Notamacropus eugenii: one gene and its partners. The protein of the gene in region 1 purifies or fractionates together with the protein of each later gene. This does not show direct contact. Links are inferred from orthologs where the notes say so. Each region holds a gene or a part of one and is shown on either strand. Other genes may lie near its edges. The genes, in order: SIN3B, GATAD1, SAP130 and SUDS3.

The links.
Region 2: the proteins of SIN3B (region 1) and GATAD1 purify together in Homo sapiens (affinity purification with mass spectrometry; 5 studies listed by BioGRID and IntAct, with this or other methods). This does not show direct contact. The link is inferred for Notamacropus eugenii from reciprocal best matches to the Homo sapiens genes SIN3B and GATAD1.
Region 3: the proteins of SIN3B (region 1) and SAP130 purify together in Homo sapiens (affinity purification with mass spectrometry; 3 studies listed by BioGRID and IntAct, with this or other methods). This does not show direct contact. The link is inferred for Notamacropus eugenii from reciprocal best matches to the Homo sapiens genes SIN3B and SAP130.
Region 4: the proteins of SIN3B (region 1) and SUDS3 purify together in Homo sapiens (affinity purification with mass spectrometry; 3 studies listed by BioGRID and IntAct, counting the BioPlex papers as one, with this or other methods). This does not show direct contact. The link is inferred for Notamacropus eugenii from reciprocal best matches to the Homo sapiens genes SIN3B and SUDS3.

The regions. Positions count from the first base shown.
Region 1 is NC_092875.1:60,073,450-60,081,394, reverse strand, and holds the start of SIN3B (paired amphipathic helix protein Sin3b), read right to left. Parts: upstream 3,011-7,945; 5' UTR 2,610-3,010; coding exon 2,289-2,609; intron 2,017-2,288; coding exon 1,910-2,016; intron 1-1,909.
Region 2 is NC_092874.1:47,953,856-47,961,510, reverse strand, and holds the start of GATAD1 (GATA zinc finger domain-containing protein 1), read left to right. Parts: upstream 1-4,653; 5' UTR 4,654-4,882; coding exon 4,883-5,554; intron 5,555-5,703; coding exon 5,704-5,829; intron 5,830-7,080; coding exon 7,081-7,140; intron 7,141-7,655. UniProt on the Homo sapiens protein: Component of some chromatin complex recruited to chromatin sites methylated 'Lys-4' of histone H3 (H3K4me), with a preference for trimethylated form (H3K4me3).
Region 3 is NC_092876.1:320,134,664-320,142,498, reverse strand, and holds the start of SAP130 (histone deacetylase complex subunit SAP130), read left to right. Parts: upstream 1-4,826; 5' UTR 4,827-4,831; coding exon 4,832-4,849; intron 4,850-6,894; coding exon 6,895-7,012; intron 7,013-7,835. UniProt on the Homo sapiens protein: Acts as a transcriptional repressor. May function in the assembly and/or enzymatic activity of the mSin3A corepressor complex or in mediating interactions between the complex and other regulatory complexes.
Region 4 is NC_092875.1:27,137,292-27,145,206, forward strand, and holds the start of SUDS3 (sin3 histone deacetylase corepressor complex component SDS3), read right to left. Parts: upstream 3,007-7,915; 5' UTR 2,912-3,006; coding exon 2,776-2,911; intron 1-2,775.

The DNA of each region.
Region 1 (7,945 bases):
TATTATGAGAAAAGAAAAACATAAGTCTTGAAGAACTACAGAAACGGTACAATGCTTGTAGATACAGATTGTTTCTGTTTTGTCTTGTGTCACAGGTGCCCAGCACAGTGCTTGAAAAAAATTAAGTGCTTAAAATGTTGGCTAATTTGAACTGTATTCTCTTTAAACCCCCCCCACCCCAAAGTGCTGATATTTTACCAATAAGGAGCCCTGAATAGGGGAATACCTCCAACTCTGGAACGTAACTTTTTCACAAACTGGATGGTTAAGGTGGCAATAAAGAACAGAAAGAGTCACTGACTGCCCCCTCCTCACCTATAACACACCTCTAGACCAGACCCCAGAGCCCTACCCTTTCCTTCCCACTGGTGAGTGCAAACTCATCTAACTCATACCAAACTATGCTTCACAAAACTTCTGCTCTAGAAACAGTCACCAAATCAATGTTACCTTGGCTTCTGGAAAGGGCATGATAAGCAACTGCCCAAAGGCTCTGTTCACAGTCCCAGAGATTTCTGACAACAAAACTCCCCTCCCTTGTAAAGCTCATGGGCAACAACTCACTTTTTGCATGTGGACTCTAAGGGCCTAGTACAGTGCTTGGCTAGCACAGTGCTCCTCAAACTAACTCGGCAGAAGGTTAGAGACCAGGCTAAAAAATACCAAGAGGTTTGTCAACATCCTCTAAAACACAGAAGATGAACTAGAAGCGGCTCTGGAGGCCATCAAAGTCCCGCCTCCTCATTTTTCCACAACTCTTCCCTTTGCAACCCTGCCCCAGGCTAACTGGCCTGCGTTCCTGCTGGCCTCCGGGCTTCTCCAACTCTGACCCACAGCCCACAAAATGTTTTCCTAAATTGCATGTGTGACCAGGTCACCAACCCAAAGTCCAACAACTGCCCATTACTTGAAAGACCAAATATAAACTCCTGTTTGCCATTTAAACCTCCTCGCAATCTGGACCCTTCCTATCTTTTCATCCTTCTAACAGATTATTACCTTCCAGGGACTCTAAGGTCAAATCCAACAGGACTCTTGGCTATTCTTCTCATACAGGCAGCTAAGGGGTGCAGTGGGGAAGAGTGTTCAAAATCAGCCGTTTATTAGCTTTGTGACCCTACCAAGTCAATTAACCTCTTTCTGCCTCACTTTTCTCATCTGTAAAATGAGAATAAGAGCACCTACTCCAAAGCGTTGTGAGGATCAAATGAGATAACATGACTAACACTTTGCAAATGCTGAGGCTAGCTATTACTACTACATAATACTCCATGTCTAGAATGGTTTTCTTTTTCACCTCCTCCCTTTAGAATTCCTGGCTTCCTTCAAGACCAGCTCTGGCTGCCCACCTCCTTCAGGTCTTCCCTTCTAAGGTTACTGAGTGTGTACTTCATATGTATCTTGCAGAAAGGCATATATGTACATGTTGTCTTTCCCATTAGAATGTAAGCTCCCTGAAAGCAAGGACTGATTTTGCTTCTTTTTTTTTAGCTCTAGCTCTTAGCACAGAAGCTGGTTTCAGATCCCAAATGTTACTCACATAGCACCTTTTTATACAGTGAGGTAGGCTGGACAGACTTCAACAGCCTCATTTTACAAAGAAGTAAACTAAAGCTGGGAGATATTTCAATGACCTGGCCAAGAATGCACAGTTGGCATGTATTTCAGGCTTGATTTGAACTCAGGTCTTCTTGACTCCCAAGTTCAGTACTTTATCCACTACCCCAGGATGCCTCTCTACCTGTGTGAACTTGGGCAATAGATTTAACCAGTCTCAATTTCCTGATCTTTAAAACGAAGAACCTGAACTGAGACTCAATGTTCCTGAGTCCCCTCCAGCTCTACATTCTGTACTCCTCCACAGTGAGTGAGGGGCCAGGGTCTTACATAAGGACTCCAGCATTATTACCTTTGGCTCTTGAACTCTTTCATGATCTCCAGGAAGCCATTGTAGGTGGCAGGGTCACTCCCAAATCGGATCTTCACCTGATCCAGATAGGAGAGGGCATCCTCTACCTGCAGATACACAGTAAGGTTATGGAAGGAGCAAGGCATCTTGGCCTCCAAGAGTGAATGGGAAAAATTGAAAACCAAGGGGGAGGGTGGAGACAGGAACCACAGAAAGGTGAGGAAAAGGGGATGGGGAAGTGAGTGGGAAAAAACCTGGGCCTGGTCTTTGAGGTTAAGGGTAGCTAGGTGTTGGAGGAGAGGCTAGACTTTGAGGAAGGGATGGGTCGTGGGGTGAAGAACTGGGCTTGGAACAAGGGGAAAGACAGTTAGGTTAGAACCTTAATACATGAAGCCAGTAGAACTCTGGGAGATAACAGCTGGCGGATGGGATCTGAAGGATGGAATGAGGTTGTGAGAGGAAAACGGACCTCAACTTTGGGAGAGAAGGGCAGCTCAGACTGGGGAGGGAGGTAGCAATGAAACGAAAGGGACAACCGACCCCAGGTGGGAGAAGTGAGGCACTGCCAGGATGGCTGCTGTGCCAAAAGCAGGAGCCCATCGAGAGAGAGAGAGAGAGAGAGAGAGAGAGAGAGAGAGAGAGAGAGAGAGAGACAGAGAGACAGAGACAGAGAGAGACAGAGACAGAGACACAGGGACATACAGACAGACAGACAGAGACAGATAGACAGACAGAGACAGAGACAGGAGGGTGCAATTTTGGAAAAGGAGGCCAAGAGTGGAGAGGAGGTACTGGGGCTCTGCTAATGGGGACCCTGTGGCACTGGGGGAGGAGAGGACAAGGATGCTGGCGACTGAGCAAGGAATGGAGGGAAAGGGAAAATGGGAGCGCAGGGGAGGGGCTGTGCGGATGACAGAACGGGCACTGGGGAGAGGGTGTGCAGGGGGAAAGAGGAGAGTGGGGGCACTGGGGCGGGGCTCTGCAGAGAGGGCGTTGGGGAGGGGCTACGGAGGAAGACGGGAAGGGGGCACTAGGGGGGAGGGAGGAAAGACGAGAAGGGGGGCCTTGAAGGGGTAAGGGAATACTGGCGACAGAAGGGGACCCCCGAATGGGGACGTGCAGGGGGAGGGGGGCGGGGCGGCGCAGGCCCGGAGGGGGGGGCGCGTGCGGCCCGTCCAGGCGCAGGGGCGGTGAGGAGAGGGGGCCACGGGGCACGAGCGCCGGGGGGGAGGGGAGGCGACGGTTGCTATGGGATGCGGGCGGGTCAGGAGGGAAGGATGGCGCGCACTCACGTGCACAGGCAGCTTCTCCTGCGCGGTGGGCCCCGCGCGGCCCCAACGGGCGCCGCTCATCCCTCGGCCCCCGGCTCCGGCCCCGGGCCCGGCACCGCCGCCGCCGCCGCCGCCGCTCGCCATATTGGAACTGGGCACAGGAGCGACCCCGCCCCGGGCACGTCAGTGCGCGTGCGCGACGTCAGCGCGTTGGGCCCGCCCATGGGCGGGGCCCAGCGGGCGGAATGCGGGTGGTGGGTGTGAGGCGGGAGGGCCGCCCTGCCTGCCACGAGGCGAGGTTCGAGCTTCTCCCTCGGCCCAGGCAGGCCCCTCGCGCGCCCTGTCCTTCGTGGGCATTGACTGGACTTCGGCGGAAGCCCTGGGCTGAGCTCGTGGTGCCCCCTCCTCGTGACGGCCCCCGGGAGGGGCAGGCCATCAGGACAGAGCCCCCCCCCCCCCCCAGCCACACCTCGGAGCCGGCCCCCGAGCCCGCCCGGCCCGACCTGCTGGGCCAGACTTGGGCGTTGGGGGCGGCTGTGCCCGCTCGGTGGGGGGCTGTCGCCGCCTTCAGCGGGCTTCCGATCTGCACCTCGGGTTCGGTGACGGCGTGGTTCATCCGGGCAGCCCGTAATTGTTCCTTTCTATTAGCGGTCACTTACACGAGCGACACAGAAGAGGGAGAAGCAGCTCAACCGTGACCCCCTGTTGGGCGAGCCTCCCCACCCCCACGCCTCTGGCAGCTCCGCGTGTAGACGGCCCGGCCCGGCCCGGCCCGGCCTGGCGTGGTCCGTTTGGGCCGCAAACACTTACCAGCTGTGGGACCCCTCCAAGGCGCTTATCTTCAATTTCCTCCCCCGTAAAGTGGGGATAACGTGCCTCCCAGGGTTGTCCCCATGTAAAGCAGGCGCTGTATAGATGCTAGCCGTCTGAATCTTGTGAAGTGCCTACTGTGTGCCATTCAGCTTGGCACAGAGCATGCAGAAATATCTTCCAGTTAGGCGGACCAGGATTCAAGTCATGCCTCTGAACCTTACCGGCTGTGGCGAGTCACTTAGAACCTCTCTCTGCCAGTGCCACCCATTTTTCACTTACCCCTGTCTTTTGGCAATCTGGGGAAGTCTATGGACCCCTTTCCAGAATAATATTTTTAAGTAATTGAAGGAAATGCTACATTTTACTTAGAAGTCTCCATCCAAGTTCATGGGATGAACTTAGGAACTCCCTGAGCTTATCCTGGGTATGTGTGAAACCCCTGCTCTGTGATCATGAGATGTAGAGCAAGTGTCTGCCAGCATGGGTAGGCTAGTTGCTTCTTAGGCAGTCCTATACCACTAAAATTGCAGGACTGGTCCGAAATCTTTTAAATGGGTCATCTACTTAGCCAGAGACTGGAGATACAGAAAGAGAAATAAAATAGGCATGTTCCTCAAGGGGTTTATATTCTGCTTGGAGGAAAAGCAGGTACACAGATAAATGTTCAGTCATGTCCAAATCTTCGTGACCCATTTGGAGTTTTCTTGGCGAAAGTACTGGAGTGGTTTGCCATTTCCTTCTCCAGTTGATTTTACAAATGAGAAAACTGAGGCAAACAAGTGACTTGCCAGGGTTACACAGCTAGTAAGTGTTTGAGGCTAAATTTGAACTCGTCTTCTTGACTTCATGCCCAGCACTTTACATATTATGCCACCTAGCTGCCCCGATTTATACATACACACAAATACATATGTGTGTAACACCTACCTGCTGTATCACTTTGCAAATCATAAGGATTCAGTATTTTCCCCTTTAATTTCTATTAAGTGTCAAAAATAAAAAAGTTGGAGTGGAAAGACGGTTATAAATGGGAGAATTGTGCAAAGCTTCAACGGAAATCCTCAAAAAGGATGATGCTCCGTGTGTGTATGTATGTCTCTGAAACTCTTGGCTTATTTCTGGGGATTCTGACTCTTCTGCATCCACAAGTCAAAAATGGCCCAAAGGCATTCTGATAATGAGGACTTGGCAGTTTGCATAGTAGGGATGCCAAAAACACAATCAAAAATAGATATATGATGGCACCCAACCATCTTCTCCAAGCTCTTTGTGAAGTATTTGTTGCCAGCTTTGCCTAGCTTGCCCGCCTGTGTGGATTGTCCAGAGAAAGAAAGGCTATTTGAGGCCCTGCCATTCTAGAGTTGTGAGTTTCCTTGGTCCTGTGTGTTCCCCAAACATGTGCCTCATTACCATTTTATTATGTTTGTGGTCTCCCTTCCTCATATGGTCTCTGTGTCATTTGTGGGAGAGTGTACCTCAGGTATGCAGGGGAAATACCTTGTAGCTGCTGTTCTTGCTATGTTACTGAAGAAAATGTTTTCACTAAAAAGTATTTTTTTAATACCAGGATGCTTTGCTAGGAAGGTACTCAGGTTTGCCTGGGAAATACCCAACCATACTGAAAATGAAAGTTGAGAGCTGAGCCATTACTAAGATGCCCCTCTATTAGGAATTCTCAAAGTTTATGTTGTTTCTTTTTTCACATAGTAAAGCTCCTGGAAAGTTAAAATTTTAGACCTCACCAGAAGTTACTACCTGTCAAAAATTCAGGATTTCTGTTGCTGTTCCTTCTACTTGATTTCATTCAGTAAAATGTGGTCTGATATTTGAGTGAGTGAGACCTTTTGGGCCCTCGACCCTGGCAAGTCACTTAACTTCTCAGGACCCTAGCCAACTCTCTTTAAGACTTCAAATTAAAGCTGATTGGGTAAGCTGAATTAGTAGAGGGAATTTCCTCACTGAAAGTTCCCTAAACCATTAAAAAGTCCTAAAAAGTAATTTGGGGTTTAGAAGGAACATTAAATTCCTTTGAGAATGGGGACAAAACAAGCCAAATAAATGTTGAATTATTGATGGAAATTTTCATATCTTAATAACAGATTAGACAGAACCTGGAGTGAAGCCCAAAAACAATGTCTTAACTCTTTTTGTCATCACCCCTTTGACAGGCTAGTGAAGCTTGTGACCCCTTCTTAAAATCATGCTTTTAAATTCAGAAAATAAAATAACATAGGATTATATAGAAATGAAATGTTAGTGAAAATAAAGATGTACTTTTTTCCCCATCCAAGTTGACAGAACTCTTGATGATGGACTCAAGTTTAAGTATTAAAATGAAAGGCTTGAAGCAAATGGGCCCTGTCAGTTTCCATCTGTTTTTGTGTAGTGGCACTCAGAAACTAGCCTTTCCAGAAAAGACAAGCTTCATTTATGCATTCACAGAAGTGCTAAAAGAGATTTAGGACACAGAACTACAGTGTCCTCCATGGCAGGACTATCTAAACAGAGGTAAGGAGCACCAACTCATGCCTTACCTGATAGAGCATCCTAAAGTAACTCTTCAGTTCCCACTTCCACTTATAATGTCATTGTTAAAGCAAGTGCTCCTATGGAAAGAAGCAAACCCTCCATATATACAAAATAATTTGGGGGAGCAAGGAAAGCACTAACTGGGGGATTCAGGAAAGTTCTCCTATACCTCTTGATGGAGCCAAGTCCTGAAAATAATTATGGATTCCAAGAAACAGGTGAGGAAAGAAAGCACTTGACCCCAGAACAGTCTGAGCCAAGGTATAGACGCAGGAGACTGAATATTGGACATAGTTCCAGCAAGCAGGTGGAATATGTGAGGGGGGAATGATGCATAATCATTATGGAAATAGAGGTTGGAGCTAGACTGTGAATGAATTTAAATGCTTAGCAAATGAGTATGTATTTAATCCTAGAGACAATAGGGAGATACTAAAGCTTATAGAGAAGAGAGACATGTACAATCATACCCGTGTTTAAGAAGATCTCCTTGTTATCCCTGTGGAACATGAATTAAAAAGGTAAGAGACTGTTGCAGTAGTCTACCTGAGTGGTGATGAAGTCCTGAACTAGTATTGGGAAAGTGTGAGTGGAGAGAAAGGAATTATATGAGACTCCTTGATAGTTGCAACTACAGAGATGTTTGGTGTCTGTAAGAATAAAGCACTAAGTCTTCAGCTGTGTTACAGAAATTGAAAAATAATACAATGATATTGCAATCAGAAACCCCAAGTCTCCCTTGAATTAAAGACCTTAATTACAGTCTTCCTTGTGTAATGGTGGTCTAGCACATGCACAGAATGCCTTAGATGCTGTCTCTTCACCTACAGAAGGTTAAGAAACTTGCTTCCAGAAGACATGAAATGGAATTGCTTTGGAGAAACTGTAGAAGATGCATTTATATTCTGTAACTGTAACTCTAAATGTTTATTGATTAATTAATTGGTTCTGATTAACTAGCCATGTGTTGAGGAGGAGACTCTTTGGTTGGCTATGAAGACATTCAGAGAAGCCTCTGAGCTTCAGCAACTTCCTATGTCTAATTTGAGACTCTGCTCACAGTAAGAGACAATCAGTAAAGAGAAAGGTGAGTAAGGCATTCTCCCCTCTAAGGTTTTTTGGCCCTATGATAGGGTCTCAGTCCTTGGCCTCTGTATTTATTCTTTTTTCCTTTTAAGTGCATTCCTGAGATCATGATTGCTACCCCTGCCATTTTTACTTCAGCTGAAGCATAAAAGCTTCTGCTCTGGCTCCTTATTTTCATTCTGTGTATATCTTTCTCTTTCAAACGTGTTTCTCATAAACAACATATTCTTAGATTCTGGTTTCTAATCCATTCTGCTAACCTCTTCCACTTTATGGGTGAGTTCATCCCATTTACATTCACAATTAAGATTACTAATTTTGTAGTTCCCTGAATCCT
Region 2 (7,655 bases), on another chromosome or scaffold:
CTGGGTCAGAAAGGGCTCCCCAGTGGCAGTGGGAATTATTCTAAACCCTCTGACACCAACCCACCCCAGGGCTGGGCCTTTTACCTCTCAAGTAGCAAGGAAGGTGCTATCCCTCCCACATAAGAGAAACCCATCCAGGGTATATAAAATAGGAGTCACTTGGATCATACTTTCTTTCCAAATCAAGCCCCAAGTGAGGATCCCCTAGGAGATTCACATTTGTGTCAACAAGGACTGGATTAGCATTTATTGTACCTGAAGCACACAGAAGATGGTCACAGGATCACAGATTTAAAGCTCCAAAAAACCCTAGAGACTATCTAGTCCAAGGGTGGGGAACCTATGTCCTCGAGGCCACATGTGGCCCTCCAGATTCTCAAGTATAGCTGCTTGAATCCAAACTTCACAGAATAATAAAAGGATGTGCTCTGTAAAACTTGGACTCAGTCAAAAGTCCATACCCAAAAACCCAGAAAGTCACACGTGGCCTTGAAGATGAAGGTTCTTCACCCCTGTTTTTAGTCCAATCTATTTTTACAGATGAGGAAACGGAGTTTAGAAGGGACTGATTACATAGCTAATGGGGCTATCCAACACTCCACAGTAGGCTTTTTGCTATCAATGGCTTATAAAGATAAGAATATAAGGATATTAGATTCTGAAGACCCAGGACCACTGGACTAAATTGTTCCATGCTGCAGAGTGTTTCAAGTCTTTAAGAGGAAAATTTTGATCCACTTTATGTGACAACTGAAACAACTTTAAAATGTTTTTTTCCCCCAACTTCTTTCTCAGTTTTCTCCTTCTGTGTTACATTAAAGGGCACTGTTATCCTAGAAATTAGTTCTGGGGTATTCTATGGGAAAATATGGGGTGTAGCTTATCTTATAGCAGAGTTGTTGCTAAGAGAATGAACAGGAAAAGACTTCATCCCTATAGTTTAGGAGTGGACCAGCTAGGTGGGATGACTGGTGAGGTCATGAAAGCCGAGGCCAGTGGATTAACTGAACTTGAGAGTTCAGAGCTACAGAGGGGCTAAAGCTGATTAACTGGCCCAGATCTGGGGGGAAAAAACAACAGAATAGGTTAAAGCTTCTGTGACAATCAGTATTGAGCCTGAGTCCATAAGTGGCCCCTGCCCTTCCAGCCTAGATGAGACTGGTAGATTCACTCCTAAAATAAAAAAGTAAATGAAAAAGATTGAATTCACACTCAAATGCCCTCTGACTCATTTGGCAACTAGACAGCTGAAAGGAAGTAATCCCTCCTTAAAGTTCATGTTTAAAGAGAGTGTTAGGACTGGTAAATCATTTACAAGCATCAGCTCATTATCTCAACAGGTGCTGCTATTATTTCCACTTTTACAGATATGAAAACTGAAACGCAGCCACGTTAAAGTAACTTACCTAGGTCTTACCTTACCTTATCTTTATAGCTAGTAAGTAAGTAAGCAAGATTGGATTTTGTTAGAATATAAATTCCAAGAGACTAGGGGTTGCCTCCTTCTTGGCATAATGCCTAAAGGGCCCCAGGTAGGTGCTTAATAAATACTTATTGATTCCAACCTAGTTGTTTGAGTGCTCTAACCACTTAGCCACACTACTACCTGTCTAATTAAGAAAATGTTTGCTGTGAGGTTCAGTAGACACATATCGCACGAGTACAAACACTTTTGGCTTTTGGAAAGACAAGGAAGGCTCCCAAAGAGGAAGGAAATAGCAAGATATCATCTTTCTCTCTCCTCTTCCTTCCCTCTGAATTCTTTCCCGTCTCCCAAATTCCTCTTCCCATAACTGAGCAAACAAGTAAGATAACATAAAGCAGTTCACTGCCACCGCCACCAAGGACACTAAAGACCCTTAACTCTAAGGTCAAGTCACTTGCATTGTAGAAAACAACCAAAGCAAACATACAGTTTTGACAGTGGTTTCCTCCCGTTCCATTGCCATAACTGATCTGAGACAGCGATCTTAGCATCTGATTGCTTTTCCTTTCCTACAGAAGATAACTATTTATCAAAACAGTCAAACAGAATTATATAAGAAAGCAGAATACAGTTTTAAATACAGAAATGTTGTATTAGGTTTTAGTTGTTTTTCAGTCATATCTGACTCTGTGACTGTATTTGGGGTTTTCTAAGCAAAGATACTGGAGTGGTCTGCTTCCATCTCCAGCTCATCTGACACATAAGAAACAGGCAAACAGGGACAAGTGACTTGCCCGGGGTCACACAGCTACTAAGTGTCTGAGGCCAGATTTGGACTCAGGTCCTCCTGACTCCAGACCCAGTGTTCTATCTACTCTACCATGTAGTTACCCCTTGTCTATTAAATTTTGAGTTGGTCCAATGTTTTAGCCTGCCAAGATCTTTTTGTCTAGTGTGGTATCCTTCCTACTTTGTGTCATCTGGAAGTTTGACACATATGCTATGGTTATGGATGAGAAGCCAAGAATCCAACATAAATCCCTCCAACATAAATCCCTGGGGCACTCTACTGGAGACCTCTTTCTAAGAGACATCAAACCAGTCAGGAGTACTATTAGGATAGAGCCATTCAACTGGTTCCAATGTGTATACTATCATCTAGCTCACATCTTGCCATGTGGTCCACAAGAAAATCATGAAAGTCTTTATCAAATGCTTTTCTACAATCTAGATAAACTACACCTACAGCATTCTTCTGATCTATCAGTCTCAGGTTAGTCTGTAATGACATATTCTTGATGAAATCATGAACAGAAAGACTTTTTATGGAGGGGAATTAGAGGACAATCCACCGGTCCTGGCACAGCAGGTATTTGGGATGACAGGTCACTTATATTGTGATCAACAATTCTTGGAACAAGTACAACAAGTCTACGGATCAATAAATAAACATTTGTTAAGTATCTCCTATATGCCAGACACCTTGCTAAACACTAGAGATACAAAACGAGGCAAAAGACAGACAGTCCCTGCCTTCAAGAAACTTATAATCTTGGTCTACGTCAAGAATTCTTAATCTTTGCGTTTTATTGACCCCCTTTGGCTGTCTGGACCCCTCCTCAGAACAATATTTTAAAATGCATAAAATAAAATACATGTCATTACAAAAGAAATCAATCATACTACCATATAGCTATCATAAATTAAAAAAAAAAAAGTACAAGAGCCCCAAGTTAAGAATCCCTGGTCTAGAACAACTACCAGCCTTCCCCCTCCTCTCTGATATCCTTCACCTGCCTATCTCCCATTTCCCAATCCAGGAAAACTCAGAAGTAACTGAGTCTAGCAATCATAAAGTGAGGTGAGGATGGCTGAATAGCACCCTGAAAATAGTCTTTACTCACCCACACGTGGAAAAGGGAAGTTAAGGGCAAGAAGAAAAGGAGTCATCAAAACATCCCTCCTGTCCACCTCTATGTGAAAGCTCTGTGCTAAATTCTTGTTAAGGACAGTTGGGGTGCAACTGGTGATCCATTCAGAGTTGTGATTCCTACGATGCAGTGGCAGTTGTAAAATGCACCTACACAAAATTTGTACAGAAGTATAGGTGAGTATCTGCTGAGTGCTCTAGTGCCCCTTTCCGGGCTTCAGTTTCTTCATCTAATACATGTATCTTATTCAACTTCGCTGAATGCAGTAAGAGAATGCTTTTATTCTCAGGGGATTCCCTTCTCCCTTCTCCAGTCTCCCACACCTAAACCTCCCCCACCTTTCTCAGCTGAGCAAACAGAGGCCACTCCACATGTCCTCTTCCTGGCCATGTGATGGAAGGATCTCCAGAACCCGACAATGAGGTGGCCCTCGTCCTTACCAAGACCAGCTTCTCTCTGTGTGCGCTGACCCCACTCTTTCCCCATTCTCCAGCAGGCTACAACCTCAACTGTGCCCTTCCCCCACCTTCCAGCTCTCCCTAGCTCCTCTCCTATTACCTTCAGCACACCCAAGCCTCTCCCATGCTTACAAAAAATGTCATTCGACCTCCCCCTGGCCGGGGCTTGGTGCTCGCTGCCTCTCTCCTTTCTGGGCCGGACTTCGGGAGAAAAGCAACCTCCGGAATCCCTGGTAATCATCCAGGTTACCAGGTAAGATCCGGACAGCTCAGCCCGCTGGGCTCTTCTCAGGCCTCCTCCCCCTTGTGAGTCACCGTTCTCTCCCGGTCATCCAGCGGCACCCCCTAAACGCGGTAAGTCTTGGGGATCTCCTCGGCTCACCTCCATGCCCACAACAACCAGCTGCACGTTGGGCATTCAGCCTGCGTGTCCCAAAGACCTGTCACACTCAACATGCTCACGAAGGACCCCGTCATCTCCCCCCACCCCGCTTCTATCTCACACCCACTGCTGGCCTCTCAGCGGGGCACCGCCGCGGACCCCGCCACCCGACACCCCAGGGACTCGCCGCAGCCCCAGCCACCAGGGAAGCCCTTCCTTCCTTTCCAGGGCAGCCCCACCTGCCTCCTTCCGGACCGCTGCCCTTGGGCCGACCCCCTGCGGTCCACCCCTCTCCTCACCTACCCTTCGGGACACACCTTGCGCACCCCCGTCTCCACGGAGACTTGGCCGGGCCCTCCTCTCTAGCTCCCACGTGTCTACCTGCGCAGTGTTTATCCTGGAAACACGTGTGTCCTGGAGATTGCTTTGTTTCATTTCTATCCCCGGCACGGATCCTAGCGCCCCGTATACAGCAGGTGTGTAATAAATGCTCCTCGCGGCCCGGCTTGCGTGGTAGAGGTCACTGGCGTGGAAAAGGGTAACTATCACCTGGAGCGGCCCTCCTTCACCCGCGGCTGGAAGGAGCCGTCCAGGCCACCGGGTCCGCCCAGGACCGACCGGGACCAGGCTTTCACAGACCAGGAATCTTGGGCCTGCGGAGGGAAAGCGGTCCCGGGTCGCAGAGATGACAGCGGGCAGGGCGGGCAGGGCCGGGATTGTAACCCGGGTCTTTCGGCTTGGAATCCCGCGCTCCTTGCCCCTCCCCCCCGCCCCTCAGGGTCTCGGTGACCGGTGGGTGGCTGCCCGAAGGGGGCGGAACAGGCAGGGAGGGAGGCGCAGCCGAGCGAGTCCTCCGACCTGCAGGGGGCGCCCGCCCGCCGCCGCAGCCCCGGAACGCCAGGCCTCCCGGGCACCTCCGCTCCTTCCCCGCTTCCTCCCGGCCGGCCGAGGCGACCACGGCGACGGGCGCGTCGGCCCCACGGTCGCGATTCCCGTGTCGCTGAGGCCCCGGGGGCCGCCCGCGCCGTCGGCCGCCATGCCGCTGGGCCTAAAGCCCACGTGCAGCGTGTGCCGGACCACGTCGTCGTCCATGTGGAAGAAGGGCGCGCAGGGCGAGATTCTCTGCAACCACTGCACGGGCCGCGGGGGGGCCGCCGGGGGCGCGGGCGCGGGCGCGGCGGGCGGGGCCGCGGGCCTAGCGGGCGGCGGGGGCGCGTCCGGCGCGGGGACGGGCACGGCGGGCGGCGGGGGCGCGCCCGGCGGCGGCGGCGGGCACGGCGGGCCGGGCTCGGGCTTCCCCGGCCCCTCGGCCGCGGCCTCGCAGCAGAGCAATGGCGGCGGCGGGGGCGGCAAGCAGGTGAGCGGCGGGGCGGGGCCGGGGGCGGGGCGAGGCCCTGGGGGCGGGGCCGGGGAGGTCGGCTCGAGGCGCGGCCCCGCGCCAGGGCCCTCCGCCCCCGCCGGCTAACGGTGGCCGCTCGCGCCGGCTCCTTGATGTGTCCGCGGCAGAGCAAGCAGGAGATTCACCGGCGCTCGGCGCGCCTCCGCAACACCAAGTACAAGTCGGCCCCGGCGGCCGAGAAGAAGGTGTCCACCAAGGGCAAGGGCCGCAGGCACATCTTCAAGCTGAAGAACGTGAGTCGGGTGGCCCTGCCTGGGGCGGGCCGGGGAGGGAGGAGGAAGGGGGGAGGGGCGGAGGGGAAAGAATCCCCCCCCCTCCTCCCCCCTCCCCCGCGCGTGCCTCGCGTTCTGACGTGTGTAGGTGTACGCGTGTCCGTGTATGCACACATATGCGCATGCGTGTGTGACTGATGCATCTGTGTATGCAGGTAGTGTGCATACATGTACAAGCACGTGTCTGTGTGCACATGTGGTTCTGGTGTGCATGTGCGCTGTGCGCTTACATATATGTGATAACATCTGGCATAGAGTATCTCTATATTCTTTACGACGTAAGCTTTACGCCTAGGCGTAATACGTGCCAGGCCCGATGACCTCATTTGATCCCCGACAACCCTGGCAGGCCGGTGCCCCGCACCCGGCTCGTAGGCCTGGGGCTGCCGCAGAGGAGCCCCCCGTAGCCACCCTCTCACCAGGGGGTTTCTGCAGACATGAGATGTTTGCCTAGTGCACCCCCACACGGATTCCTGAGGTCCAATTGAGGAGCTGTTCTGCTAAGGATGTTAGTAACGAGAGACCACAGAAGCCACAGGCTGCTCCTGGTTCTTGTTGGTGCAACATGCAGGGAGTATAAAGTTATGAAAACTGCCTGGTTTCCCTGAGTTAAGGTTGAGGAAGCTCCATCTTTTCCTTGACGGCAACTGAATTTTGCTAGGAGTTGCAGGATGTCGTGGAAAAGCATTTTACTTGGCTGTTGTCCTTTTATAAGTCATCTTCTACGTGCAGTGTCAATGAACAGTGTCTTTTTCCTTTAAAAAAAATTTACTTATGAAGAACTTGTTTGAACAAATAACAGAATAATCCCCCGATACGACCATGTAGGGCAGCTGGGAGGCAGCAGAGTACAGAATGTGCTGGGCCCAGAGTCAGGAAGAACTGAGTTCAGATGTGACTGACATTCAGTAGCTGTTGGGCAAGTCTCTTAACTTGTCTGCCCCAGTGTCCTCAAATGGGGGTAATGAAAAGCACTTCACCCCCAAGGTTGTTGTGAGGATCAAGCGAGGTCATATTTGTAAAGTACTTAGCACACAGAAAGTGCAGAATAGTTGTAGATCTGCATTTGTAGGACGGGAGAGCTTCCTTCTGTACCTTATAGCTCTTCCAAAATCCCAGCTACTCAAACTCTTGTACTAGTTTCTGTGGCTTAAAAAATGTCCCTAGCATCTCTCTTTAAAAAGTGATGATTTTGCTTTTTTTTTTTTTTAGCCCATTAAAGCTCCTGAAGCAGTTTCTACCATCATTACTGCAGAATCAATATTTCACAAGGTAAACATGAATTCTTTCTCTATGAAGGCTTCAGTCTTTTGTTTAAGGTGCTATTTAAGACTGCTTTTTATCAAGATGTGCACAGTTAGCTGTTTGAAGCTGAAATGATCTTTTTTTCTTTTATAAAATATCTCTGTGATAAAATGTTCCCTCCACTAAAAAGGTGATTCTGAGTTTAGGGGACCCTTCCCCAGGCCTAGTGTTAAGGGGGAACAGGATAGAAGTTTTCTGAGAAGATTCAGATATGGGGACACATTTTTAAATTCTAGGAGACAGATGTGGGTGTTGACTAAAAATGAAAGTGTATATTTCGAGACTGTAGAGCAGATATAATAAGGAAGTATGATGGCAGGTAGGCAGGAGAAACAAAGGAAGTGTCAGTTCAGAGGTGCACAGGGCTGTCCTCCAATGTTAGGGTGCTGCATCATCCACAAAAGCAGACAGTGACCAGACCACAAGAGAGTTTCCATTTTTACTGGAACAAATGGTATCCTATTTCAGAAAGGTAAAAGTGG
Region 3 (7,835 bases), on another chromosome or scaffold:
TGATATGGGCTATACCTGTAAAATCATATTAAACATATCTCCATATTAGTCATATTATGATAGTTGAATCAGAACAATAAGGAAAAACTGAGAGAAAAAAAAAACAGTATGCTTCAAACTGCATTCTGACTCCATAGTTCTTTCTCTGGATGTGGATATGGCATTTTCTATTATGAATCTTTTGCGACTGCGTTAGATCGTTGCATTGCTGAGAAGAGGTAAGGCTATCAAAGGTGGTCATCCCACAATGTTGCTGTTACTGTGTACAGTATTCTCCTGGTTCTGCTCCTTTCACTCAGCATCAGTTCATGTAAGTCTTTCCAGGATTTTCTGAAATCTGCCTGCTCATCATTTCTTATGGAACAATAGTATTCCTTTATATTCATATACCAGAATTTGTTCAGTCATTCTCCAATTGATGTGCACCCCCTCAATTTTCAGTTCTTGGCCATCATAAAAAGAGTTGCTATAAATATTTTTGCACATATGGGTCCTTTCTCCTTTTTTATGATCTCTTTGGAATACAGACTTTATTGCTGGATCAAAGGGTATGGATAGTTTTATAGCCCTTTGGGCATAGTTCCAAATTACTCTCCAGAATGGCTGGATCAATTTACAACTCCACCACCAACAATGTATTAGTGTTCCAATTTTCCCACATCTTCTCCAGTTTAATTAATACTTATTACAAATGTGGTTCTAGAGTCACCTATTCATTTCAACACAAACTATTAAGCACCTTGTATAAGTAGGAAGTACAACTTTAATTAGACAAAAGTAGGCTTTTCAAACCTAAATGTGGCAAAATCAAGCATCAAGGAATAGGTCAAAAGAATAAATTTTCTTTTAAAAATGTTTTGTTTATATCTTTTTTTTCTGTTTATGTAACCTACATTTCCCAATTTATTTCCCTCTGCCTTCTAAACTGCCATCTCTTATTAAAAAGAAAAATGAAGGCAAAAATAAAAAACGTTTAGCAAAAGCAAAAACATGTCTGACATCTGTAGTATTCCACACCTATAATCATTCACCATTGCAAAAAAAGTACCTTCCCAAATATTTTTTGGAGCTGAGCTCAGACAGTGTAATTTCACAGCATTCTTTTTCAATAGATTCTTGCACTGTCTTTGTATATATTGTTTTCTTGGTTCTATTTCACTTTGCATTTTTAGAAATTAAAATGTCACAGCATTATGAAAAGTTTTAACCTTGAGAACCCCCTGAAAGGGTCTCAGGGACTCCTGGGGTCCCCAAATCACACTTTGAGAAGCACTGGGTTAGATCAGTGCAGAAGTAGGAAGCAGAACTATGAACAGACACAGAATAGTGAAAAGTGAGTTAAAGTAAAAACAGAAAGTCAAAGTTAGCCTTCCTTATACAGTGACAGGTAAAATGTTGAAAAGATAGTGTTGAAAGAAGCTATTAAAATTGGAAATAACTGTATTGCTTTAAAATTGCTCCACACTATTTCTCTGTGTTTCTACCTAGACAAAGGGAAACAGCCTGGTGTTGTAGAAAGGGTACAAGACTTTGAATCTCCTTGACTCTGCCCATAGCTATGGGATCGTAACCAAATTGTAACCAAACTTCTCTAGGCCTTACTTTCCATGTCTATAAAACAAATAAGACTAAATCATCTGGAAGTCCCTCCTGGATCTAAAAGTCTATAATCCTAGGCACACTGATGCAGACAAGATCCTGGATTTACTTTCTCAATCACCATTAGCAGACTGGTCCCCAAAACACGGCCGATTACATCTCTCCTTCAGGCAGAGGTTCCTTCTAATGCAGTTGGCTCAAACCCTTCAAACCCTGCAATCCAACATCGTTCCTGTTGAAATTGCCTGTCATGTCAATTACCTTCTACAAAGAGATATTTACCAAGAAGGTACGGCAAGGATACAACCCTGCTGAGCTAGGAGCACATTCTGCCCTAATCAAAGGCGATCATATTAAAAAAAAAATTTTTTTTTAAAGCTCTTAGCACAGTGCTTGACACAAACTAGGCGCTATCGTGCAGTAGATGGAGAAGTGGTGTTGGGGTCAGGCAGCCCTGAGTCCGTACGTGACCTCAGACACTGAATAGCTGTGTGATCCTGGGCCAATCACGTAACCTCCGTCTGCCTCACTTGATAGCGCACCTGCCTTCCCAGGGCTGCTGTGGTCAAGATAAAACGAGGTCAGTATCTAGCAAGCATTCTGCAGACCTCAGTGCGCTGCATGAAGGCTACTGTCCTTATCGTTATTAACCACCTCGGTCCTCGGGGAGCCGATGCTTGAGGTGTTGAACTGCTGAGGCGTCCAGGGCTCTCGGTCCCACCCCACCCCTTGCAGAAAACTTTACTGAACTTCCATAACGTGGAGGACACCGGCTCTGGGTCAGGAGGGATAAAACGCCTTGGGAACGGGTTTTCTCGAGATGCAGGCGAGAGCAGCGGGACATCCTTCGCCTCTGCCGCCAGCGCTGCGGGGCCGGGGTGGCCATCCCCGCTGACAGGCACCCGCCACGTGCAACGGATCCCGGGAGATGAAGAGGATACATTAAAAACGAACCCCAAGCCCCACCTCCCCATCTGCCCTTTAAAGGAAAGCGTGGAATGGGGCTCGTTTGGAGTCCCATCTTCCCCACTCCCCCTTACGTGGCCCGCCATGCAAGTGACAAATCCAGGGCCCGCGGTTCGGGGGCCTGGAGGAGAAGGCGGAGCTCCAGCGCTAGATCCGGTCGCCTTTTCTCAGTTGGGTAGGGGGAGGAGAGGGTAGCATGAAGTGAAAAGCGGCTCGATTAGAGCCAATGGAAGACTGCAAAGGGGGGCGTGACGCAGGACTGGCGGCTGTGCCCGCCCTTTCGCCCACTCGTACCCTCCCAGTCACGCCCCCTTGTCAGGAAAAACTACAAGACCCAGAATGCCCTATCACCCCGGGCTGGGACATCCCTCCCCTGACGATCCCACCTTCTGGCTAACGCCACGCTCTCAGTGGCTCAACTCGAGGTGGGCGGTGCCAGCCCCAACCAATGGGCGGGCGTCTCGGTGCGGCGGCGGAAGCGGCGGTGCTAGGTTGAGAGGAGAGCTAGCCGCGGCCGCCGCGGCGGGTCCAGAGCCCCGGGGACTAAGACGCCTGAGAGGCGCCGCTAGGAAAGGCAGAGAACAACACGGAGAAGGCAGAACGGAGGAGCGGCGGCTCCGCGCTTCGGAGTCCAGGTAGTGGCGGGAGGAGGGGATCCGGGGAGGGGGCGGGGCAGCCGGGCCGGGCCAGGGTTGCGGCGTCCGCTCTGCCGAGGGTCCCCTGGGAAAGGTGGCCCCGACGAAGCGTAGTCGGCTTGGTCCTTCGCCAGGTATCGCACCGCTTAGGAAGTTGTGGGGTCCTGTCAGTAGCCTGGGATAGGGCGGTTAGTCCCGGCAGTTGAAGCTGCGAGGAGCCTCTGCCCCCGGCTTGGGGTGCCCCGCGGCAAAGAGGCGGGGTCTGGGCCTTGGGCCGACTGGCTCTGGGTCTGGCTTTGATGGGTAGAAGACAGGGAGATTGGCCGGGCGGGGGGCGGTGGCGGAGGCAGTTTGGCTCACAGAGCAGTTTAAAGTGACTATCTACATCCGGGACCTGCGCCCGCCGCTTTCAGACCCAGGCAAAGGCGGGGCCTCCCTCCCCGCCCCCCCGCCCCTTCTCATTGGACGAGCCATCTCTCCTCTTCTATTGGTCGCGGGGTCGTGAAATTTGGGTAGCCCTGCCAGAGCCCCTAGCTTGATTAGTCGAGGTTCGATGGGAGGGTGGGGCTAGGGCGCCGAGGTTGATGCTGGATTGGAGCCCGAGCCCGTGTGACGCCTTCGGCGCCGGGCCAATAGGCGGGCGGTGGGAAGGGGAGGGGCAGGTTCTTGGGGAGAAAGCTGGAACCAAATACTGAAACTGCTCTAGTAACTGGGGTGTTTGCTGGGCCGGAGCCGGTGTCACGGGGACCGAAAGACTGTATTGGCTATGGGGAAGGGGCCCTCCTGCTTCCCTCCCTGGTTCCTTTGTGAGTCCGCTTCCCGGACTGGGATCTGATGGAAAAAAGAGTGGGCAGGAGCTAGAAAGAAGCTTCTGGGGCAGACGGCAGACGGCAGACGGCAGACAGGCGGCAGGGTACAGGAGCTAGTTATCTTGGGAAGACCTGAACCTGTTCTTCCCTCGCTGGAAGAGCCAGGCTGGAGCACCCCAGAGAGAGGAGGCGGGACAGCCCTGTCATCCGATCCATTCATTGGTTTGGGTGGGGAAGGAAGCACCTGAGCATTTAGAGTTAAAACGTGCTTGGAAACAGATTTTAGAGGAGTCTATTAGAATAAATGTGAGGGGAAGGGAAAAGGAAATCTTTAAATCTAGGTCTTGCAAACAGAGCCATTGACTGATCTCCTTTTGGTCAAATCTTGCTGTGAGATGTCTGTGACTCTATATCTCTCTGCACCACGGAACCTTTCAGTGACATGGAGATATAAAATCTCTTTACTGTCAAGTTAGAAATTGCTAAAGGCTGGTTTTCTCAAAAACACACATTTCTTTGACTATGATGTGTGCATTACCAAAGTGTGCTTCCTATATATACTTTCCTTTAATGTAGAAAAATCCCCCACCTAGTTATGGTACCTTAGTGCAAATCGAAATACATGAAATAAGATCATGGGGTGGTTAAGAGTTGTATTTTAGGTAGGATATAATTAACAGAGTAATATATTTCTTGTTGGGAAGCCTAGATTTTATTCCCATTTCTCCCAGCTGAGTGAATCCTGAATGACTCTGCCTTTTAATTTTCTCTGATTGTTCAAAGGAAGTACCTTTTTTTAATGGCTTGAAATAACATCTTTGGATGGAGTTAAAATACAAAGTATGATTTAAAATTTTTTCTCGCAAAGCCTTAAATGATTTGCTTTTGTTCTTGTTATTTGCAAACTTGTAAAAATCTTTAAAGACAAGGCAGAGTTCTTAATTGATTAGCATTTAGTGAGGTGCCATGTGCCCTGTGAGTACTCCATAAAGTTTCAAGAATACCTACTTGTTGATTGTTACACACACACACACACACACACACACACACACACACACACACACAATCACAATTAATGAAGACTCTATTGTGTCTTTCCCAAGCAGGTTTTATTATTCGCTGAATTTTTTGGCTATAAAGCCTATTTGCAGAAATTCCTGTGTTAAGCTAAAATATGCCAGAAAGTCTTGTATGTTGGCTAGTATAATTCTTACCTAAAAACCTTAAAGGTGATTTAAAAGAGTTAGCTAAAAGTATAGATGACATAAAACTGGGAGCAGTGGCTTATCCACTGACTGCAAGGATGAATCCAAAATATCTTGGCGGGCTAAGGTCGCTCAGGTCAAAAAATAAATGTTGCTAGTACAAGATGAGGGAGATAGAACTAGGCTAGTTCATCGGAAAGTGGTCTTGGGGGAGAGACTTAGTTGACTGCAAGCTCAACATGAGATGATAACCTAGTATGGATATCAAAAAAGGGCAATTTTGGGCTGCATTATTAGAGATATGGTATCTAAGACTGTGGGGTGAGAGTATTGTACCCATATCAGGCCTCATCATAGAGAATTGCCATTGTCAGTTCTTGACACCACTTTCAGGAAGAACATTTTTAACTAGAAATCATCTAGAGGAAGGCAACAAGATTATTTGATGAAACACTCAACATCCTACCATATGCACATCTTTGGAACTGAAGATGTTTTTCCTGGAGAAGAGAAGACTTATGGAGGACATGATTATTGTAGTGTCAAGTATTTGAAATGCTGGCCTATAGAAAAGGGAATAGACTTCTTTTGTTTTTCTAGAAGTCAGAGGTGGGAATAGTGAATAGAAATTTCAAAGAAGCAGATTTAAATTTGATTTAAGGAAGAAAAATAAAAGCTATATGAAAAAGTGGAAGGGTTACCTCAGGAGGAAGTGGGTTCCCTCTCTGGAGGTTTTCAAGAAAAGATTGGATGACCATTTGTTGAGTATGTTGTGGAAGGGATTCTTATTTAAGTTGAGGTTGGACTAGACAAGCTCTGAGTTCCTTTCCAACACTGAGATCTGTGATTCTGCATTGTAATTATTGGGAAAAGTAAGAAGTAATAGTAAAAATGTTAAAATTTTAGTTTTGACATTAAAAAAAATTTCTTTTTTGGCATGAGTAAATGGCTGAATTTCTGAAATGGCAGGCATCCAAATATGCTGGAAGAATTTTTTCAGGCTTGAAAAACCCGAAAACTACTTAATTATCTTCATATCTATCAAGGATATATTTCTGAATACTTCCCGGAGAATTTTAAAATAAAGTGTTTTTGCAAACATGCCCCAGAGTAGATAGGTCCTGTAGATCCCTTTATGATGAGAAAAATATTACAGTGATTTGATTAAAGATAAGACATAAACTTAGCTATGGGCAGCTAGGTGGTTCAGTGGATAGAGCACCAGACTTGGAATCAGGGGGACCTGAGTTCAAATCCACCATCAGACACTTAGTAGTTTCTGTAACACCTTGGGCAAGTAACTTAACCCTTTTTGCCTAAATTCCCTCATCTGTAAAATGAGCTGGAGAAGGAAATGGCAAACCACTCCAGTATCTTTGCCAAGAAAACCCCAAATGGGGTTATGAAGAGTCAGAACAACTGAACAACCATAGACATAAATGGACTAGAGTAATTTGTTAGCTTTTTTCTACTTGGTTATAGAAATTCAGGTAGCATTTCCCATTTGAAAATTATTTAGTTTTTCAGCTGATGTTTTGTCTAGTTGAGATAAGTTATTTAGTTATTCTAACAATTAAGGTAATGTCATTTTAAGGTTTAAACTCAGTGGTACCAACTGTAGATATGTGTAACATCCTGCATCTCCAGATCAAATTGTAACAGTGTGACTGTATTTTGCAGGTAGAAATGAGTTCTCAACAGTTTCCTCGTTCAGGAGCCCCTTCTGCAGGGCTAGGCCAAGCTCCCTCACAAATTTCCAACAGTGCATCTACAGGGCTGATAAACCCAACAGCTACAGGTAAGGCGTTTTTAAGTGTTCTCTTATTTGCCTTAATAAGCTTGCCAGTTTTAGTGTTCAGAATTAGGCAGAAAATTAGGCAGATTCTACAACTAGGTGATGGAGTGCAGCCAGGAAGGCCTGAGTTTTGAATCTAGTCTCAGACACTAGGTATGTGACTTTGGGCAAACCACTTGACCTTTATGTGCCTCACTTTCCTCATTTGTAAAATGGGAATAATCTTAATAGCTCTCAGGGTCATTTGGAGGATCAAATGAGATAATATTTAAAGCATTTTGCAAAAGCACTATAGATTGCTGTCATCATCTTCATTATCATGTTATTTATAATTGATTGAAACAACTAAAATTTATAAGCTCCAACTAAAATGCAATTCTGTAAGCATTTATGAAAAGATTACTATATGCCAGATGGAAAACATAATGGTATAATAGATAAAGAGCAGGCTTTGGGGTAGTGGGTTCAAGTCCTACCTTTGACACTTGCAGGCTATGTGACCATGGACAATTTAACTTCTCAGTGCCCCAGACAACACTCTAAAAGTCAGAGAAGAGATGCTAATCTGTATCCATAGAGCTAACATTTGACATTTTCCCTATACCAGTAAAATCATAAGTCAGTTCAAAAAGCAAAAGGAACCAGGCACATCCTCAGATGTGTACTAGGGATATGAAGACAACAATACCCTCATGGACCTTACACCCTGATGTGGGGGTACAGCATATCCACAAATGGGTATTGTAAAGGAAATTTGAGGGGAGAGAGAAAAAGAACACTTACAGCTGGGAGGGGTAGGGAAGAATGTAGTAGGGCTTCATTGAGG
Region 4 (7,915 bases), about 33 Mb from region 1:
TCTTTTAGCTTTAAGTCTAGGGAACAATAGCAAGTGTCTCTGAATGCTAATTAACAGAAATGCTCAGCCATCCAGCAATAATAGAGGTTAGAGAAGAGACAGAGATGGTCCAAAAACTGGCAAGGAAAAGTATAATACATGTATGTCATACTGATACTAAGCCATACTGAATTTGAAATCAAAAAGGATTCTCACTCAATTTCCAGTTTTGTCATTTCCTAGCTGTGTGACCTTAGGCAAGTCACAACCTGGGCTTCAGTTTCCTCATCTGTAAAATGAGGGAACTGGGTTGTTAATCTCTGAGTTCACTAAATGCTAGCTATTATAGTATTCCAGCTCTAATCTCCATAATCCTAAAATAGCTAAACTTCCTACCCCCAGGTTCTAAATCCAGGAATCTCAGAATTAGAATAACCCTCAGAGAGTACCAAATACAAATGAAAATTCTCTCTACATCATAACCAACAGAGACACCAAAGCCAGAAGACTGCCAGTGTTTCAGATGCTGGAAGCTAGAATAGAAGTCATTCTACTCATGAAGAAGTCCTTAGGAAGTTCTTAGGTAAAAGCCAAATTTGCCTCTTTGCAGCTTTTACCCACTGCAGGGCCAATGACAGGTACTTTGGATATAGTCCTTTAAAGCTAAGGTTTAAAATAAAACAGCAAATCTTTAAGATTTGCAGAGCACTTTACTTTGAGTCACATAATAATACTTCAAGGGACGCATTGTTATTATCCAAATCTTACAAAAGAGGACGGTGAGACAGGCAGAGGCTGAGTGATCTGCCCAAGATCACATACCCACTGAGTGCGAGAAAAAGAATTCAAACTCAGGTCTTGACTTTAAGTCTTATGCTCTCAAAGGTGGGGAACCTGCAGCTTCAAAGACATACATGGCCCTCTAGGTCCTCAAGTGCAGCCCTTTGACTGAATCCAAACTTCACAGAACAAGAAGTTTGGAATCAGTTCAAAAGGTCACACTTGAGGGCCTAGAGGACCACATGTGGCCTTGAAATAGAAAGTTCTCCACCCCTGCTCTCTCAACTGTGCCACCTAGCAGAAGAAATCTAATCTGACTTCCAGGTGAAAGCTCTGCAAAGTATTAAAAGTCATTTACTTATTCACTAAGTATTTATTATACATCTTCCACCAGGCAAGGTTCTAGGGATGTTTTTGGGCTGTGGAAACAATCACCACAGAGTACTCCTGTGAGTGATATCTCCTTCATCAATGGAAACAAATACACAACTGCAGCGGGTCTCCTGCCTCAGCCCCTTGAAATGTGGGCTCCTAGAGGGCAGGGGAACCCAGAACTGGCCCACACAAAACACACTCAAGATTGTTCCTACAACTTAGTCTTAAGAGAGGTGCCTTAAGGCACAGTGAGGTTAAGTGCCCAGGGAAAGCCATCACTAGAATCCAGATCCTCCCTACGTCTTCCCCCCTCTCTGGTCACACAGCAAGAGGCTGGATATTGGTGTCTTCACCACACAGCAAATAATAACAATAATAATAGCTAGGATGGAGGAGCTTCACAAATATTATCTCCTTTGGTCCTCACAACAACCCTGGGAGGTAGATACTACTATCATACTCATCGTTTGATTTTGTTCAGTCATTTTCAGTCTTGTCTGTCATGACCCCATTTGGGGTTCTCTTGACAGAGATCCTGGAGTGGTCTGCAATTTCCTTCTACAGCTCATTTTACAGATGAAGAAACTGAGGCAATCTAAGTGAAGTGACTTGCCCAGGATCACAAGCTAAGAAATGTCTTAGGCCAAATTTGAATTCAGCTCTACTCTAGGCCCAGCATTTTATCTACTGGGCCATCTAGCTTTTGTTTATTTTTCATATTTAAACGTTTCCTGTGGTTTCTAAAATTATTTTTACGGAAATGACATTAGAGCCTTTGTGCTCAAGAAGCTTATATTCTTCTTAACACATTCCCTGTCACGCCAGAACGTAGCACACAGTAAGTGCTTTAAGAAATGACTACGGAGCACAGGATTCTACAGAGGGAAACAATGTTACAAAGCAACTATACAAAGTAAATACTGTGGGGAGGGGCCTAATTTGTCGGGGATAGAAAATACCAGAGTAAATACAAAGTAATTTGAAAAGAGACACCAGCAGCAGGCAGGGGGAAGGGCCCAGGAAAGGACTTCCCCCCCCGGGGGCTTACACCTACCCCTTTCCAGCCCCCCTTATATGGTGTCTCCCCCATTAGAATGGAAGCTCCCAGCGGGCAGAGTGTTTGTTTTGCTTTTATTAGGATTCCTGAGGCTTGGCCCAAGAGCCAGCCGAGCAAACAGCGAGTGTTTAATAAATGCTTGTTGACGACACAATTAGTAGCTTTAGAATTAAGTAGGTAAAATCTAGAGATTCTAAAAAGCTCTAAGGAAAGGATGGGTCTCAGTTTCCCCTGCTGCAAACAAAGGTAACTGGTTCGACATGGTCTCCGAGGTTCCTTCACGGCTCTAGTTTTCATTCGACGATTCTCCAACTTTTCGGTCCCAGGATTAAAATTTGAGGGACTCCCTCCCCCCAAAAGAGTTGTGGCTCGAGTGGAGTCTATCGATATTTACCACAACAGAAATAAAAAGTTTTGACAAGGCTGCCCCCCTCCCATCCCCAGACCACTCTGAGAACGTCTGGACCCAGCCCGAGGCGAGGAGAGCGCACTGCAGGCGTGGGGCCCGACTTGGGCAAAGGCGCCGAGGCTGGACGCCCAGCTCTCTCTCGCTCGCTCCCCTCCCCCGGCCCGGCGGGCGGCACCTTCGTCGGACTCGCGGCCGCGGCAGCTCCGCTCGTCGTCCTCGGCGCTCTCCAGCTCCTCCTCCTCCTCCGGGTAGTACTCCGGGGCGGGTGGCGCTCCGGCCGGGGCCGGGGCCAGCAGCCCGGCCGCGCTCATGGCGCCGCCGCCCGGGCCTGGGGCCGCGGGAGGTGTCGGCCTCGGACTCAGGGACGCGAAGGGAGCCCAGGGAGCGGCCGCCTCGGCCGCCTCAGCAGCCGCCGCCGCCGCCGCCGCCGCCTCCTCCTCCTCCTCCTCCTCCTCCTTCTCCTCAGCCGCCTCCTCCTGAGCCGCCTCCTCCTCAGCAGCCTCCGCCGCCGCTTCCAAGCCCCGCCCCCGGCGCTCGCGCTCGGCAACGGGGCCCTCGCGCGGCTGCTTCCGGGTCACGGGCTGCCCGGCGCGCGCCTGATCCCGCCCGCTCCCTGCCCCGCCCCGCCCAGCCTAGAAAAGCGAAGACCCCCAGCTCCTCACCTGAGTTCATGACGCTTCTCGCTCCCACCTCAGCCGGGTCCGTGCAGACGGCTCTAGCAGCCCCAGGGGTGGGAATCATGATTATGCATGAGCAGGCGAAGCGAGCGGTGCCTCGCGGAGCGGTCAGGACCCGCTCCTCCTCCGCTCCCCGCCCCTCCCCGCCTCTCTCTCCTTGGAGCTCCAGGACGCTCCTCCCCCAGTGGCCACGAGGCGGCGCCGGAGCCCGGGCTGCGAGTCCGGGTCAAGATCACCGCCCCCGCCCCGGGTCTCCAAGTTCAAACGCTTACGGGCGGGAAGCCAGAGGATGGGGCTGGGAGGAAAGGTAACCCGGGACGCCAGCCCAGGAGAGTCTCGGATTCCTGGGGGGTTCGGGGGTGGCCAGACCCCTCTGTGCCCATCTGTAGAATGGGCACGCTGATTCCCGTAGCTGCCTTCTCCGGAGGCTGCGGCAGAGGTGCCAACGACAGGCGCTTAGCTGCTTTTTGCAGACTTCCTAGCGTTTACATAAAGGCTGTCCTTGAAGATTAGAATGGAGCTGGGGAGTCCCGAGGAATCCAGGTTAAGAAAACCAGATTAGACCCATGCGGGTCTAAGATCCCTTCCAGGTCTGGATGTCTATGGAGAGCTGGAAGGGACCTTTAGGCTAATAACTGATCGGGCAAGTATTAAACTCCTTCTGTGTGCCAGGTGCCGGGGAAGACAAGGACACAAAGGAAACAGTCCCTGTCCTCAAGAAACTGACATTCTGAGGGAAGTCAAGTTCATAGCAAAGTAAATAGAAAACGGAGGATGTAAGTAGTGACAGACGATGAACGAACTTCACAAAGAACAAATACCACGTTACTGGGCGCAGTGGATAGAGCACCAGGTGGGGAGTCCGGAAGACCTGAGTTCAAATATAACCTCAAACACTAGCTGAATGACCCTGGGCAAATCACTATCTGACTCAGTTTCCTCTTCTGTAAAATGGGGATAACAATAGCCTCTCCTTTCCCACCCCGCCCCCCTATAATTGTAAAGTGCTTAGCTAAGTGCCTGCCAGATAGTAACCACTATATAAATGCTATCTATTATTATTGGTGTAATTATCATTATGATTATTAATGGGAAGAGGAAGGTGTCCAAGCAGGAAAGGCCTCTTGAAAGAGCTGTCATTTGAGAACACAGCACCCGAGAGGTTCTAAAAGGCTGAGGCAGGTTCTTAGGGAAAGAATAACTGATATTTATGTGCCACATTAGAGTTTACAATGTATTTGACTGACTTTATCTCATGGCAGCCCCACAAGAACCTGGGGAGGCAGATATTCCCAGACTTATTGTCTCCATTTTACATCTATTTCAAGCCCCTCTTTTGAAGAAGAAAACTGAAAGCCCAGGACATTGTGAACTCCTTCAGAGCAGGGCCTTTTTTGGGTGTGGAAGGGTTTCTCTGTATCCCCAGCACTTAGCACAATGCCAAGCACATAAGAGGAGCCTAATAAAATGCTTCTTGACTTGACTGACTTGTCCAGAGACGGTAACCGGCAGAACCTGGGTTCCCTCCCAAGTCCTTAGACTCTCACTTCAAAGCACAGCAGGCCTGGGTCCTCCTGGGCCCTCCCAGCTCTGGCATTCTATCTTCTATGGCCCCACCCAGTGTAGAATCAGAAAAAGAAAATCAAAAGTCTGTACTTCTGATCTACTGCTTTGAATATCAGGCATTCAATACAGGACAAGTAAGAGGTAAATAAATATCACGGCTTTATTAAACAACTCAATTCAAATATTTTCAGCTTAACAGAGGGCAAAGGTGGAGGGGCGGGGCAAAAGGCTAGGAAGGAATGTTTTCCAGATGATTTTTACCAGTAACCAAAAAAGAGAGGATGGGGAGGAGCTAGGTGGCTCAGTGGATAGAGCACCATGCCTAGAGACAGAAAGAATCATCTTCCTGAGTTCAAATGTGACCACAGGCACTTACTAGCTGAGTGACTCTGAGCAAGTCACTTCACCCTGTTTACCTCACTTTCCTCATCTGTAAAATAAACTGGAGAAGGAAATGGCAAACCACTACAGTATCTTTGCCTATAAAACCTCAAATGGGGTCACTGAGAGTAAGACAGGACTGAACAATAAACAAAAAAAAAGTTTCGCCCCCATCTACTGCCCTGTTAACCATACAGCCAATCAGGGTTACCTATGAGATCTTGTTACACTTGTTAGAACAAACTAATGTGGGCATTTTCCTTAGAAAGGAGGGTTTACCTAAAAATTTAAATTTGCACATGAATTCATCCTGATTGCTTATGTTACTTATGACCTATTGCAGAGCTGGATGAAGCAAATATTTGCTGATTCTTTTATTAAGGGGCCCGGAAGGGGGCTCAGATAATTCCAGACCAAACCTTTCATAGGACAGATAAAGAAACTGCTGCCTTGAGAAGAGCTAAGTGGTTTAGCCCAAGGTCAAGGCAAAGCTAGAACAAAATGACACACAATTTACCATGAACATATCTCCACAGATGTTTGCACCAAATTTAGTAAAAAAAATAAATAAATAAATAATTTTTTTTTTTTACTTTATGGAGAGGGGAAAATGAAACAAAGTAATAGCAAAGGCAGGGGTGGAACCCAAGGATTCTGAATTCCCAACCTTGACTCTATCCAGACCAGGGGTGGGGAATCTTCGGCCCTGAGGCCACATGTGGTCCCCTAGGCCCTCAAGTGCAGCCCTTTGACTGAACCCAAATCTCACAGTGATCCCAAAGGGATTTGTTTGGTACAACTTGCACTCAGTCAAAAGGCAGTACCCAAGGACCTAGAAGGCCTCCAGAATTAGAGCTCCCCACCCCTGATTCAGCCTAACTTGGCCTTTCATTGTGCCAAACTTTTCCTCTGTTTGTTTTCAGATTGCAGTTTCATGCCTTATTCCAATGTAAACCCCAGTCTTTTCTGATAGTATTACCAAGCATTTGTCTGCCCAGAAAAGATACTCAAATATAATCTTGTCCAGAATGGGGTGAATCTTAAATTATATTCTAATTTTACAATGTTTTTCCAGGAATTTCTCAAATTCTAACAATGTTACTGAACCAGTGTCAATCTCAGGGCTCACTACCCCACTTCTCTATTTTTAAACTCAAGATTCCAAATTTGACTACAGACTTCAGGAAAAGATTGTGTATGTGTGTTCTATTTGCACCTAAATTCCTCATCATCTGCTTTCATTTTGTCATAAACAACTCACCCGCTCTCCCCAAAGAGGAATTTCCCCAAATCCATCCTCCACACTATCTTCTTGATGTAATATCTCAAGAAATCACTGAAATTCCTCTTCTTCCTATCCTCAACCCAAAACAGTGTTCAAATACTCTGCTAGGTCAGGTTACCTGCCCTCTCCTAAGAAATTCATTTCAATGAAACTTTTGGTACCATCAGTATCTACCTAGGACACTTCCATATCCCCAAATACAAATGTTGATTTAAAGAGGAAGAGAATAAGGTTTAAAAGTAATTAAAGAATGTTTTACATGCCTATACGTTGTTTTCTAAATCCCAAATTTGAAAAGCACGGGCATCAAAAACCAAAGAAACAACCCCAAATGCAAAACAAACACTCTCACCATTCAGACTGCAACGGGCAAATCCGATTAATGGTAAAGACTGTCATAAATGCATACTTGTCAAGGCTAGTACATAGATTGGAATTTATGCCAAAATTGATTAAAAGTAGAGTGTTTCCAGATGAGTCCAAGATATGCTGCAGTGTTACAACTTGAGGATGAGGAGAGACAGTTATTCTTTGACCTATAAAGAAGGGTAGTGACAGGCATTCTATGTTCCATGGCCCCACCCAGTACAGAATCAGAAAAAGAAAAGCAAAAGTCTATACTTCCTATCTACTGTTTTGAATATCAGGCATTCAATACAAGGCAAGTAGGAGGTAAATAAATATCAGGGCTTTATTAACAACCCAATCCTCCCTCCTTCAGCTTAGCAGAGGGCAAAGCAGGGGGAGGGGGGCAAAAGGCTAGGAAGGAATATTTCCCAGATGATTTTTACCAGTAACCAAAAAAAAGGGGGGATGGGAAGGAGCTAGGTGGCTCAATGGATAGAGCATCATGCCTAGAGACAGAAAGAATCATATTCCTGTGTGGAGTCAAACTATATTATGCTGCATTCTGGATTGACCTTTCATTCGTGTAAAGCTGATCTGTCCGTCCCTTTGTCTAGGTATTAGGTGTGCTTTATAAGCAGACAGACAGGACTCCCAAAGTTGTGAAAAGGAGAACTTTCTCAAAAGGAAGGGAGAAGACTCTGGAGGTGGGGGAAGAAAAGAAAGGGAGCAAAAAGGAGGGGAAAGGAGAAAAGAAATGGGAAGTTGGGGAGAGCACTTTCGAATACAAACAACTCTGGAAGAAAAAAATTGGTTACAACATAACTGGAAAACTTGTATATTGTTACAGTAACATTGTTTATTTGGAAATTAAATACAATTTTGCCAAAGGTCACTTACTAGTAACAGTGTTCCTTTCCCATCATTCCTCCCTAACTATGTGGTTGATGACACAGGTTCAAAACTCACAACTTGACAATGACTGATGCTATGAAATGCCACCCTGGGGAGCTCTGGTGACCAGGGTGCAAGGAAAATACGTGTAGAGGAGAGGAGATAGA